2 linked regions of the Xenopus tropicalis genome follow. The protein of the gene in region 2 purifies or fractionates together with the protein of the main gene of each other region. This does not show direct contact. Links are inferred from orthologs where the notes say so. Each region holds a gene or a part of one and is shown on either strand. Other genes may lie near its edges.

Evidence for each region.
Region 1: the proteins of bcar1 (region 2) and bcar3 purify together in Homo sapiens (co-immunoprecipitation; 4 studies listed by BioGRID and IntAct, counting the BioPlex papers as one, with this or other methods). This does not show direct contact. The link is inferred for Xenopus tropicalis from reciprocal best matches to the Homo sapiens genes BCAR1 and BCAR3.

The regions. Positions count from the first base shown.
Region 1 is NC_030680.2:103,998,691-104,006,244, reverse strand, and holds part of bcar3 (breast cancer anti-estrogen resistance protein 3), read right to left. Parts: intron 6,899-7,554; coding exon 6,767-6,898; intron 3,559-6,766; coding exon 3,116-3,558; intron 208-3,115; exon of another isoform or gene 193-207; coding exon of another isoform or gene 188-192; intron 1-187. UniProt on the Homo sapiens protein: Acts as an adapter protein downstream of several growth factor receptors to promote cell proliferation, migration, and redistribution of actin fibers.
Region 2 is NC_030680.2:48,739,781-48,747,334, forward strand, and holds part of bcar1 (breast cancer anti-estrogen resistance protein 1), read right to left. Parts: intron 4,902-7,554; coding exon 4,158-4,901; intron 1-4,157. UniProt on the Homo sapiens protein: Docking protein which plays a central coordinating role for tyrosine kinase-based signaling related to cell adhesion. Implicated in induction of cell migration and cell branching. Involved in the BCAR3-mediated inhibition of TGFB signaling.

The sequences.
Region 1 (7,554 bases), about 55 Mb from region 2:
TAATGACACTGCTGTGTATTTTTGAATAACACATCCCATACCTGTACCTGAAAATCAATATGTGCAGGAAAATTCACTTTGCATAGTTAAGTTGGGTTGAAAAAAGACCAAGTCCATCAAACTTAAAGGACAATGAAAGGTTAATATAAATTAAAAGTAAGTCTAAAGGCTTTTTTTAAGTACTTACTGCATATCTAAATTCCCAGATCCCTGCTTGCTTCTCTGAGATATGGTGCTGGCAGCCTACAGCAGTGTGAAGACTACAGTGACATCACTGAAATCTCTCTCCCCTTCCTGTAGGTGCCAGCGGCAGCCTTCCTATTCTCTGAGCATGTGTGTAACTTGATCCTGTCTCCTGTTCTGAGCTACACATGCCCACCAGCCAATCAGAAGCGGATCTGCCAGAGGGGAGGGGGGGAGGGAATGAAACACATGTGCAGGATGAAGCAAGGAGGGAAAGGAAGGGAGAATACCTTTTTAAAGATGGCTGCCTGTTCTAGAAAACAGATAGAAAATGTGAAGTAAGTGTGACTGAGTAAATATTTGATTAGGTGAGCCAAAAGTGTTTTTACTAAACAATAGGAGGACTATTGGGCAGTATGCTTTTTAAATTTTGACTTGCATTCTCCTTTAACGCCTCCAAGTGAACCTGACATATACTGACCTATCTATACACTTACACTAATTAACAGAATCTGCCATTACAACATCACTAGGAAGGGCATTCCCCAACCTCATTGCCCTCACCATGATACTGCTGCAAATGAAATTCCTTTCCTCTAATCTAAAGCGGTGGTCTCTGGTGGGAAAAAAAGAACATCCCCTGTCTGCCTCCCTACACAAGTGCCTTTTCCAGAGAAAACAACCCCAACATTGACAGTCTAACCTCATAGCTTAAAGGACATGTAAAGCCTACATTTGCCTACAATGTATATCAGTTGGGCACGTCTCCCCCACCCAAATGGCATCATTTGTACTGCATATATCCCCTCTGTTTGCCAGCACCATCACATTTTCCTAAAGCAAATAGCAGCTTTCACCCAGTGCCATTTTTCCTCTGATACATAACTGGGTACATTTAAATCTGCAAACAGCATATATACACACACACACACACACACACACACACACACCCTTATTCAGCATACATTTAATCAGGAATACAGGCTCACACAGGCAGAACTGTCTCTGATAAAAGTTCTGATTTGTTTGTTTGCTGAGCTCAGGAGAGGAGGTTAGGAGAAAAAAATTGAAGCAGACAGCTAGAGCTGAGTTTCTATGAGAACCAGCAATGCCATCTCTACTGGCTGCTAGACGGGGGGAGTGTTTAGTAATCTGAGTTTAGAACAACTGAGCATGCCCACAAGCCAACAGCCAAAGCAAATTCCTGAGGGAGGTGGGCGAGTGGGTTACAGGAGGAGAAGGAAATCTAAGTGATTAAGGGGACACTGCAGCCTTACTATTAACCTCTGGACAACCAGTGTGGCAGGTATTGAAAGATTTCAAAGAGGCTGTTCACTGATTACATTTTTGTGTGTGGGGTTTACATGTCCTTTAAATCTTCCATCCCCTTTACCAGTTTAGTTGCAGTTTCTGCACTCTCTCCAGCTCATTAATATCCTTCTTAAGGACTGGAGCCCAAAACTGCACTGCATACTCAAGGTGAGGCCTTACCAGAGATCTATAAAGAGGCAAAATGATGTGTAATCCCTTTATTTGCTTTAGTAGCCACAGAATGACATTTTCTGCAATTAGACAACTTGTTATCTACAAAAATCCCCAGATCCTTCTTAGTTAAGGATACCCCAACACACTACTATTTAGTGTATAACTCATGATTATATTATTTTTACCAAAGTGCATAACTTTGCACTTATCAACACTGAACCTTATTTCCCAGTTTGCAGAGCAATTTGACAAAATTGGAAAATGGCAGCAAAGTAGCAGCATCCTGCAAGGAACCTTCATTAGCTGGTTGTGTCAAAAATTAACAGTTCAGATTTCTGCTTTTTTCCCGTCATCAACCCACTGAGCCCCCCTCTGATAATAAGGGTCCCACCTCTATTCTTGCCAACCTAGAGACCTTTAATCCAACCATAAAGGTTTTGCAAATATACTGGCCTGTATACTTGTTAAGAAACATTATAAAGATATTCCATTTTCCTTCTGTGTTTAACCCTGTAAAAAGCCTTTCCCAGTTAATACATACACTATGTTATGATCACTGTTCCCTAAATGCTCACCCACACTAATGTTAGAGATGAGTTCAGAATTATTAGATATCACCACGTCCAAAAGAGAATCATTCCTAGAAGGTTCTTCAACAATATAATCCCTGGGATGTTTACTGATGGGATGTGAGGTGCATGTACCAATTGGAAGTTTAGTTAGTGCCCATCATCATAACTATACAATGGATATGCGGATAGCCTCTGATAAGCATAGGGGAATCCAGTTTTATTGGATGATGAATGTCACATGCACACGTGTCCAGCTTCAGCCAGACCTTCTCCAAAACCAAGCACAGAACAAATGAAATACATAAGGCACATGAACAGTAAGGTCACGGAAACTAATGTATGCAACGAAAACCCACATGTGATTAGTCGCAGCGTCTCATGTTGTACCCCGTGACAGAAAAGACGGTGTGATAAGTTACCCTGACCGTCTTTTTTTCTTAATAAATTTGTGGTGACTATTTTCTGATTGTGTTTTCGCCCTTAGTTGCCAAAAAGAGGTTGGATACCCAAAACTATTATGTGTTTAGAAAGCAATAGAGCTACTTCCTCCCTGAGCAGTCCCAGGTCAGGGCGGCTTTATTAAAAAGTCATTTCTTTGCAATCAAGCTATAATTTTAACATTGTCCCTGCTAATTTACCCACCAGACTGAACTTTTGATTTGTCCCAAATAAGCAATTATGTTAGTCCCAAATAAGCAATTATGCCCACCATAACCAAGGATGGAATTAGTGGTCTGCAGCAGAGGCAATTGGTAGGGGGGTCCAATAAAGGGGGGAGCAATTGGCAGGGTGAAGGGGCACCATTTGGGGCAAGCAAGTGGGAAAATAGGCCAAATGGTATTGTCTTGGACAGCAATTTACTACAATTTACCAACCTTAGGAGATTGCCCCTGGCAAGGCTCTGTTCCTGGGATACCCCCTGTCCAAAGTTAAGGCTCAGACGTTTAGGGACTTCAGCTTTTGCTTCCAAGGGGCCCAGTTCCAGCCGTCTAACTGGAGAGGTACCATACTTCTCCTCAATGCATCGAAGAGGCACTGTCCTGTTAATGGGTTGGAAAATGATGGCTCCACTCTGCTGCGACACGGCCTTGCGATTACCGACATAGTATCTAACCAAGGCAGGCATGCTATCGAAGCTTTCATGTTCCAACTGGTACTGGATCCGGCAGTAGGCTTCATTCAGCCTGATGACTACTTTATTTATTTTGAAATGTTGGGAGAGATTTTTCCACTGACAGGTGAGCACAAAGTTTCCAGGACTTGACAGAGAATCTCTTATAAGAAAATCCCCATCTCGTTTCACCAAGTTTTCAGATACCTGAACAATAGAGAACACAAATATTAAATGGAGGCTTGTATACCTATCCACCTATCAACACTGGCCATAGACATTAGAGAACTTAGTATTTCTAACCTGACACTGGTTTTTAGATTAGTAATATTCTCTCTACATTATATAGTATATCATTTCAGCCAATATGGCCCTAGTCGACAGATTCATGATCACAATATCTAAGGTAAGCAGCGGGATAAAAACATTTTGCTCCTAAAAGTAGTTCAGAAAGCTTTAGTGATTCTTTGCAGCACAAAAAAGAAAAGAAGGCCACCCTCTAAAACTGGAAGGAGGAAAACTTAGGAGAAAAAATATGTATCACATGACTCAAAGGTAGTTTTTAGCTGTATTACAAGCTGAGTGGGAAAAGGGCAATGCAGTTATACAGAAAACCTACCCCCTAGGGGAGGAGAGATGTGATAAATGGAAGCAGCTAATACATAAAGCAATGTCTCAGTTTTCTGAAGAAAGAATGTAGAGGAAACATGGTAACCTGATAACACCCTCATTCCTAGAAGACAATCAATATTTTCAAACAAAATAAAATGAAACGGAATGCTGGCGTCTAAAGAATAGGGTCCTACTTTACTACATATGGAATGACCTTGTGAGTAGAGCAATTACTATAGGAACTTAAACTGGTTGAAATACATCTCCCATCTGGTAAATTACTTTGACACACAAACAATTCAGGTATATTATATGCCTTCAACTTCAAATGCTATCTTTGGTTGGTCTGTGTTACAAAGAGGTGGTACATGGAGGAAGCACTGTATATACATAATATAATTGATACTGCTGCCCAAAAGAGAATGGAATGTCCAAAATGGAAGGCAAAATGAAAACAACCCTTCTAGGAACACACTTTTAACATTAGCACAATGAACACAGCTTCTGCTGTTGTTTTAATTACTCATGTTATTTGTTATTTCTGACACTGAACTGGACAAAATATGAAATTGAATGTACAGTCACAAGCTGCTCCTTATCAGAAAGTCTTGTGTGTGTGTGTGTGTTTGTGTTAAAAAAAAGCAGTAACCAAAACAGATAGGAGTATATTTCCCTATGTTATAGCTGAACAAAGCAGGATGAAGGTCAGTGTAGCAATATAAACCAATTTGGTACTCTGTGGCTTTATGTATATAGGCTATTTAGGTAGCTTGTTACCTACAGTACTAAACTTTGCTTTTTAGCTCCCAACCTTTCAGAGTTCCAGCACATATTATAATATAGTCTAGTATTAACTTGCTGCCTCAGGCACCAATGGACCGAATAACAATGGGTACAGTGCCGTGTATACTTTGTAGCATTATATGAGGAAAGAAAATTAACCCTGTGATGAGTAGTAGCGTATTTGATTTCTAAAGGAAATTAAAGGCAAGAGAGTGAGATGCAGGAAATCAGCTCAGGCCAATGCAAGTCTGGGAAATATTTAGTGTAGTAGCAGATTTGCTGAGAACTTTCTCGGTTCATAAAAGCTTAGTGTCACTTTTTATGAGCAGTGTAGGCCCCTGCTGTGGAAAGGGCTATTCTATGGAAATGCTTCTTTTATTTCTGCTTGTATGTGCAGAGGGAGTCTATAAAATGAAACCTGAGCTGTGTAGCCTTCTCTCCCACTTTCCATGGAGCAGGGAATTGCTGCCCACTAAATGTGTGATTCCCAGAGTCCAAGACTTGATTTCCTGGGTAACATTACACAGCTGCCAGAGCATTCAGCAAGTAAAAGGAAATCAAAGGGATCTGAGCTGGAGAAAGGACTCCAGTTGTTATGGTATTAAGTGGAGCCTACACCTGAACATGGGTACTATTCCTCCGGCTTAACATTATATATAAACAGAATGAGCAGTCATGGACCTCACAAGCTATTGATGCTCTTCAACCCACAGGTTTCCCGACAGCCATATTGCTTCAGATTTTCCCCTCCCCTTATAGCCTTTGTTAAACTTTTGTCCCCCCTCCACACCTAGCAGTTCTGAGATCCAGTCACTAGCGGAGAATTCTGGGAATTGTAGTACAGTAGTAGGGCAGCATTGCTGCATTGCTATGACTACAGGAAAGAAAGGAATCCCCCTCTCTGTAACACACAGCTTTACCGCTATTGTCTGAACTAAAATGAATGAGTGTGCAAACAAATAGCTTTTTAGCAAGAGTTTGGTATTTAGTGTGTGGGGCTTAGACCTTCCTGCTTTCATTTCTCATTCACAGAAAGGTGAGCTGAGCAAATAGCACACATGAATAGCTCTGCTGACTTCATTCAGGAACAGATCATACACCTGCGGCTCACCCTCTGAATCTATATGCGCAGCTCAGCCAGCAAAAGGTCACTGGGATGGACTCTCACTTAAAGCACCCACGGCTTGAATCTCTCTATGGAAATAAATAGTGCAGGTCTCTATACAAATATATCATATAAAACACTCCACAGTTAAAACACGGTTTCATATAAATATTTACACAGAAAATATATTTTTCTAATCACTGTTTATAAGTGAGTGTGGATCCTCATCAGTTTTAGGGATTATTATTGTGCTGGCTGCACCCAGGCGTTCTAAACTGTGCATTCTGGCACTCTATTGGCTAGACTGAAAAACTGCCACTCTGGCTTGTATGGGGGTTGTGCTCACACACAAACCAAGGACATGCATGCAAGCTATCTTTCATCAGCCAATGAATGGGCAGGGCTGCCGCTCATCTTCCCGTTACAGTAAGAACCTACAGTATTTCCTGTCAGGTGATCAGTGAGTAGCTGATGGTAAAAGCTGTAAAAGGGAAATATTAACTGATAACTATAAGCCACTTTGATAAGACTGGTTATTGCTAATTAGGATATAAATGACATGTTGTATTTCTTTTTTTACAACATATAATTCTGCTTTAAACTTGTTTCTGAAGCTGCAACGAGAAGAAAGGAGGAGATGAATATAAAAGGTACTCCTACAGATGCTCACCCACAAAAACAGGCAGGCCGGCTTCTTTCTAACTCTGCTTTTAGAATGCTTGCTGATGTCCTGCAGGCCACTCTGGTAAGGAAGAAATGAATGCCAGCCTATGGCTTTCTACCAACTACTGAGCTCCAGGGCCACTGGCTGGCTAAGCCTGCTGGGAGTTTATTTTATCCTTTCTTTGCCACTAGAAGGTAACAGTTGTGTGCAGGGTAAGATTTTCAGTTTCAAAGGGAGCAGTAGACACTGACCTGCCGTGGAATCCTCCCATGATACCAAGCATGGCTCCGTAAATCTTCACTGTTCAGCTTTAATTCTTCCTCCAACTCCTTCTTTAACTTGTCTGGGGTTCCACCATCCATAATATAGCGATCCTTGGAAAACTGCAAGACAAATCAGTGAGGCATAGCACAAGTAAGCTTTGTGTGTGCTCCTGTATCACCCAGCTTCTGGCACAGCACCCTCAACAAGAACTTTCGTTTTGTCTTCTGTCACCTACTGTCACTTGCTGCTGGGATGTGGGTGTAGCATTTCATAAGCCTGCCTGCCTCTGTGATCAAAGGCCGTCACGCAGGTTGGAACAGAGCAAGGTTGCACCTGCAGTCACATGCAGCACTCTAAATCTCCAATCTGCCCTTTGCACCGAGTTTATGAGTCATTACTTTAAGACATTGCTTTAACTATTAAATGACCAGCTATCCCAGGTCTAGATCATCTAGGAGAGAATGCGTAAGAGGATACGGATATTCCTAAATGCTGCAGTTCAGAACAAATTGCAAAGAGCTAGGTAAGTAATGTAAAGGTTTGTGTTCAAGTGTTATTTTTAAAAGTGAACCTGTATGCAGTTTTATATATAACAGTGAGAGCTAGAAAGTGTATGTACTGTACGCTAACAGACTGAGAAATAACACTGGGGTTATGCAGCAACCAATCAGCTGTTAGAATATATTGGTTAGGCAGTGGGTAAACACAGTAACTAAACATCTAATTGGTTGCTATGGTAATTTAAAACTAGGCAACACTGACCTTGTTACCATCC
Region 2 (7,554 bases):
CCAACTGGCAATCTGGGCGGCTAAGTGGCAGATGAGATTTAATGTGGATAAATGTAAGGTCATGCACCTGGGATGTAAAAATATGCAAGCCACTTATACCCTTAATGGGACTGCACTAGGCAAATCCATAATGGAGAAGGACCTTGGAGTCCTTGTAGATAATAAACTTGGCTGTAGCAAGCAATGCCAGGCAGCAGCTGCAAGGGCAAACAAGGTTTGAGCTGTATTAAAAGGGGTATAGATTCACGGGAGGAGGGGGTTATTCTTCCCCTTTACAGAGCGCTGGTAAGGCCCCATCTAGAAATATGCTGTTCAGTTCTGGTCTCCAGTGCTCAAACGGGACATGATTGAGTTAGAGAGGGTCCAGAGAAGGGCAACTAAGCTGAAAAAGGGTATGGAAAGTTTCAGTTATGAAGAAAGACTGGCAAAGTTGGGTTTGTTTACACTGGAGAAGAGGCGCTTAAGAGGTGACATGATAACTATGTATAAATATATAAGGGGATCATATAATAACCTTTCTAATGTTTTATTTACCAGTAGGTCCTTCCAACGGACACGAGGGCACCCACTCCATTTAGAAGAAGGGAGGTTCCATTTAAATATTCGGAAAGGATTTTTTACTGTGAGAGCTGTGAAGTTGTGGAATTCCCTCCCCGAATCAGTCGTGCTGGCTGATACATTATATAGCTTTAAGAAGGGGCTGGATGGATTCTTAGCAAGTGAGGGAATACAGGGTTATGGGAGATAGCTCTTAGTACAAGTTGATCCAGGGACTGGTCCGATTGCCATCTTGGAGTCAGGAAGGAATTTTTTCCCCTCTGCGGCAAATTAGAGAGGCTTCAGATGGGGTTTTTTGCCTTCCTCTGAATCAACTAGTAGTTAGGCAGGTTATACATAGGCATTATGGTTGAACGTGATGGACGTATGTCTTTTTTCAACCCAACTTACTATGTTACTATGTAAGTAGCTTTACTACTTTAAGGGTGAGTACAAAGCACCCAATGTTGTAAAAGAAATAGATGCAGCCATTGATCAAAAAGTCCCCATACCATAGACCTAATGGAGGTTTGGTCAGTTTTATTATTTTTATTATTTATAAAGCGCCAACATATTGCGCAGAGCTGTGATTTTTACAGACCTCAATAGGCGAAAAGCAGACAACTACTGTTTATAATAATTTCTAATAATTACATTTATAAAGCAAACTTATGTTAATGTTTATATGTGGGAGAACATATTATATGGGGTCTATTCAATTATCAAAACAACACAGACTTTTAAGCTAACTGCACAAGGACAAGATTTGTTTGCTCGATTTTTCAGTATGTCAAAATAATTGGGAATTTTGGTGATTTTGTGGACCTCTAGGCAGCACAGCGAACCCAATGATTAACACTGCTGCCTTGCAGCACCAGGGTGCTAGACATGCAATATAGACACTTGGATTGCAAATTCATAAGGGCATGTACCAAAAGTCTAGAGATTCCCACTTATTCTAATGTAAAGCAACCTAATTCCTGAAAAAAATGCAGCTATAAAATTATAGATGTGCCATTAGTGTTGCATAGCAGCTTATAAAAAGGGATGTTGTAGATGGCTACAGCATTCTATATATGGTGCCTGTTACACCATCTGCTTCATCTAGTTGTGTCTTTTGTACAACTGTGTAACAGGGCATCAGTGCCATGGCAACCTTACTGTGATGGAACCAACTGTGATGGTATAAAAATAGATTTCATGGACAGGACTCTTTCTGAGGTCATGCAATTTATTTTTCACATTCTAGTGTATCCTATTATAGAATAAGCCATATCTACAATTCTGAGTAGGTCCAATCTAAATGTAATGAGCCATGAAGAACCTGAATAGTCTGTGATATTTTATGTATGATAAAAATATTAAACTGCAGATGTTACATATAGATTTCCAAATGTAGACACACAGATAAATATTTCACAAAGATCCGTTCCATCTCATTATTACATGATCTAATTTTCCTGTCTACTTGATTTTGAAAAAGCCTTCTCTTTAGAAACAAGGTCTCAATATAGATACAATTTTCACAGTAATTTAAAAATTTCGCAGAGCTTCTGTCATGCACAGGATTACATTGTTCCTTTGCACAACTGCTGGGCACAGACACTGAGTTCATGCCCAATGCCTGCCAGCCCTTCAGTGCCCATCTGCATGGGATGCATGTCTAATCAAAATTAGAAAATTTATAATTAGTGACCTGACAGCTGAATGTTGCCTTCCAGGACAGCAAACACATCATATCCCTTTTCTCTGGAAAATAAATTTACCTATTATATTAGTAGCTTAACTCAGCATGCCAGCAACTTAACCAACAAATAATATATCACAATAAATGACCAACTTATCATACTTGAGACATCATATGACAACAATATCTGCAATAGGAAGAAATATAGAAGTAAAATACACTATTGTCTCCATTCATTAGTTGATGTAAACTGGTATGCATTATTTCAATAAGTGATCATACTAACAGAAAAATATATTTTTCATGTAAAGGCCTTATTTATATAAAAAAAGGTGTTTTATATAGGGTCAATCTATACATTTATACTTGATATATGCAATGTTCAAGGGTTCAGTGCCCCTTAAAGAGATTTGAAAAAGCATACTGTCTTGCAAGGTACTGTCCCAGTGCATTCCTGGCTGCTGGCAGTTAAAGGGTTATGAGTCCATTTACAGCATTGTTTTTACTGTAGTGGTAGAAGCGCACAATATAATACCTATATAAATAAGGACTGTAAATAAGGATTGTCACCCTTTATCAGCTAAAGGGCTGCAGATAGTAAAAAATCAAGAAAGAATCATATAAAATCTTACAGTTAACACTAGATTAACTGTTGCTATCTTTTCCTACAGCCCCACACTTTTTCTACCTAAAGTTACAATCCAGCACAGCCCTGTGCAGGAGTGTGGTCAAGAAGCTCAAAATTTGCTATTTGCAGTCACCTGTCATTGCCAGTGTGTGCTATAGGCAGAACATTTTATATACATTTCATTATAAAGCGACAACAGACCTAGGCCTTAGAGTCATGTTCACTATAAAAATTTCCTGTGGTGTGAGGATTATATTTTATAAATATATATAGTTTAACAGTTAAATGCATCCATTTAAGCCCCCTTATCTTTTTCATTTTTATGTTAAATCAGCCACAACTATTTTAAGCAGCAATGTAGTATACATGTAAGATAATGGGGCCATTTAGATAAAGAATAATTGATTCTAATCAGTCTAATCTAGTGGGACAATGGCTCTAATAGAATCCTTTCCAAAAAAACATATATGGTTTTGGTTGTTTGCCACACTGGAGTCACGTGAGTACCAGGAAAATAAAGAAAGTGCCAATAAGTTTTCCAACAGTACTGTATTACATTGCTTTTGAAAACTAGACAATTTTACAAATTGTTTCAAGCAAAATTAAAAACTTTTTTTTTTTTTTACATGAGCTCTACAGGGCAGGACCTCCCTCCTCCTGTGTCCCTTAACAATTAGCAATTATTCTTGAATGCAATGATATTTTTTGTATACATTTATGTTTTATTATTGTATTGTTTCCAGTCTATCCTACTAATATATTCTTTGAAAATATTACATGAAAATATATGCATACATTTGTGAGATTGCTAATGTGTTTGCCAACTGAATGTCAAAGTTTAGTCAAATCTGATTTTCATGCTGCTGAAACTGGAAAACCCATTAGAAGAATTATCTGGGCCATGCATGTGGCTTAGAAGTACACTCCAGAGAAAAAACACTGTACTTAACGCCGAAGGTTCTTGGGCAGGTTTTCTTATTTTAATGGTTTGATACATCTTTACATGTAATGATGCAAAAATAGATCTATAAAAAAAATAGATCTATTTTCATAAAGGCATAAACTGGTTGCATCAGGTATAGCAGGTTTATTACTACCTATAAAACGATATATGTTGTAGAACTCTTCCAGCTGATAAAAACAAGATGATTTGTTCCAAGTTCATCAAAGTTACAGACGTTTATTAGTGCTGATTCTATGAAATCACAAATTCAATCTCGTTAGCATTTAGAATGTGTATAGGCAAAACACACAAATTTATTGTTGACTTCAAAAAAGGTAACCCATAAAAAAGTTAGACTGTACCTTCCCAGGCGCCTTTCTGACCTCCACTGCCCTCATATCCATGGATGGTGGCACTTGATATATTTCCTGTGAAGAGGTAATTGAAGGTGGAACGTGATATATGTCTTGTACTGTTCCAGAAGAGGGTGGGACTTGATAAACATCGTGAGGCTGAGGAGGACTTATGGATCCCACTGGAACCTGGTAGAGTTCCTGTGATTGGTTCAAAGATGGTGGAACCTGATAGATGTCTTGTACTTGGCTTGGAAATGGGTGCTGAGCAGGCTGGTTCTGGTACAAGGAGGGTTGTTTTGATGGGGTTATTTGCCCTGGATGCTGTGGCCCCTGAGGGTTCTGATAGAGCCCCTGCTGCCCCTTAGAAGATGCTGGCATCAAATATACGTGTTCTCCACCTGGGCTCTGGTAAGCAGAATGCATTGGTGTATACTGATTTGATGATGTGACCACATTATAGACCCCCTGGGGTTGATAATTCAGTGGAATTTGGGGCGGCTGCTGTTGTGTTTGTTGCTGAGGCTTCTGTTGACACTGGTCACCAGAACCCTGTTTCTTGTCATACATTCCCACCAGAATCTTCAGCCTGTTTCCTGGGACAATCCCCTGTCTTCCATGTAGAGAACAAAGCCACCAGCCTTCAAGACCCTGAGTGTTTCGTTCAAGAACAGTCATGATATCCCCCTTTCGAAAAGACAGCTCATCAGGTGACTCAGCCACATTATCATAAAGAGCTTTGGCCAACACATTCTGCAAGAACAAAATAGTAGGAAATTATTGAATCTTTTCTTAAATTAGAAAGCAATCACATTATTTACAAAGGTGTTTTTAGGTTCTTTTAAACAGGTAACATGTATTTGTAATATTAGTCAATTCATTTGCTCTAATGAAAATTTCTAAAGTTACATAAATCATGACAAATCCTTAAATGGCCCCTTTCAGACCCTAAAAAAGCCTACACTTATATTTCCTTTATCTGTCTGTGATAAATATCTCCCATTATAGGTCAGATAAGAACACAGCAGTGGCAGCTGAAAAGGACAACAGTTTAAATTAAGCCCATTGATAAAAACAGTTGACTGTGGGAAAAAAAATGTTTGCCTGTCACAACACTGAAGAGACAAGCAATGTTTCAACATTTTTGTATGAACTGTAAAATGTCATAAAGTCCTCAATACAAAGGAACCAGGAGTAAAGCAGAGCCTGCATAGCAGCCACAACAATACAATGATTGTTTTCTGCCTCTAAGGGTTCTGGCACACGGGGAGATTAGTCGCCCGCAACAAATCTCCCTGTTCGCGGGCGACTAATCTCCCCGCATTGCCATCCCACCGGCGAAAATGTAAGTCGCCGGTGGGATGGCACACGCTGCGCAGGCGATTTCGCCAAATTTCTAAAGAGAAAAAGAAAATGAATGACCATTATCTTTAGACACTACGGGGCACATTCGGTAAAAGAGCTTGCCACAGTTCACTGGAGGATACCGCAGTCACTCTCTATTCAAGTGGATTTTTAGAGGCGTATTTATGTATGTATGTATGTATATCTTTATTTATAAAGCGCTACTTATGTACGCAGCGCTGTACAGTAGAATTCATTAATACAGACAGGGGGGTTAAAGATAATGGATAAATACAAAGTACAACAATAAATACAAATAAATACAAGGTACAGTTGCAATAAGATGACTTTTTTAAGAGTACTAGGTGTTACTACAGCAGCTACTACACACACAATTCTCACTAATCTTGTTTTTACTGGAATGCATGCAAAAAAAAAAAATTGCAAAGGAGCAGGTGATCCTAACTTGCTCTCTGTGGAGGGGGTGGGAGTAGACCTAGCTACAATCAAATACCCTAATATGCAAGGGTTGTATACATAGCCAGCATAGTTATAAAATACACTCTAGCTGCATAATTAGAACATATACTATCTTGTGACCGCAGGACTTTACAAGAAAAAGAAAGTATCAATACACAAAAATTAAAATATATATCTAATTCTAATCCCAGAAGTATGAAAAAAGAACTCACACTGAGCAGAAATTGTTGGTGGCTTAGAAAGTGCGAGTGAGGAATGTAAAATATTTTGCAGCTAGGATACAGAGGTCAAGATAATTAAGTTCAAAGCCATTCTAAATAATTCCTCTATTTGAGAGGGCAGGCAGGCACCAAAGAACCAACTTACATGCTTTTCTAAGAATAGAGGATCCAGTCTTTGGAATTTCTTCTAAAACAAATGGCAACTAGTGAATAAAATGTACAGGTGACATTATCCCTTTGGGATCGTTATGTCACTTTATATGCCTTGACTCCTCGATATCTCCCATCACAAGTAACCCCCTATTTCTCCCAGGACTACAACCGAATGCATTTAAATGGTGGACTGCTAATAAATTCATTAGGATAAAGAATTTACTCATCAGTTAGGGGCAGAGACACTCAGAACAGGCTCCATCCACCTTTTTTGAGAGATGGTGTTCAAGCAACACTATCCCACCCAAAGCTATCTAATCTCCTATCTATCGTAATTTGATCTCACCTAAGAACCTTATGGAAATTTCATACAATAAACAATAGCATAGGGACCTAGGCACAAACCTAACAGAGGATCAATGGTCCCAAATGTGAGACAACTTAAAACACAGCTCAGCCAATACAATTTTATCCAAAGCCAGTTATAAGTTCCTTTTTCACTGGTATTTAACCTCAGACTTATATATATATATATCAAGGCCCAAGCGACACTTGTATTAGAGGCTGTTCAACTCCAGGTACTATGGGGCATATATGGTAGCCTTGCCCAAAAGTAATCAGATTCTGGTTAAGAGTCTACAACCTGATTTTCTCTTTTTTACAATTAAACCATATAAAGCCCTTATGGGATTACCATTCACAATAACTCCTAACTCATATATTCCTAGCCGCTAGACAGACGATAGCAAAGTCTTGTAAGTCCCCCAACAATAAACTTCATTATGTTTAAAAATAAGATTGATGGGATCTTTATTAATGAGAAGTTAACTAGCATCGCTATAGATAGACTTAAAACGTTTCAGATAGTATGGAAATCCTAGCTAAAGTATAGGTTTAACGATAAGTTACCTACCCACCTCCTCACACTGTAAAGAGAAATAGTTAGCTTAATAATAAGAAATGATGACCAGGCTTACACCATAAAACGTGTCTCAATTATTTGAGATATTTTTGTTTTTCTGATTTGAATAATTATTTTTCTATATCAATGGTTATTTTATTATTTCTTTATTACCACTGATGGATGTGATATTTCAGAATATCAATTCACTGTTTCCAACGTGACAATATTGATGGAACTGATAAAAACATGCTTTAGAGCTTAAACTCCAACTTTATTTCCACAACCTGGTAAAAACATTGAATAT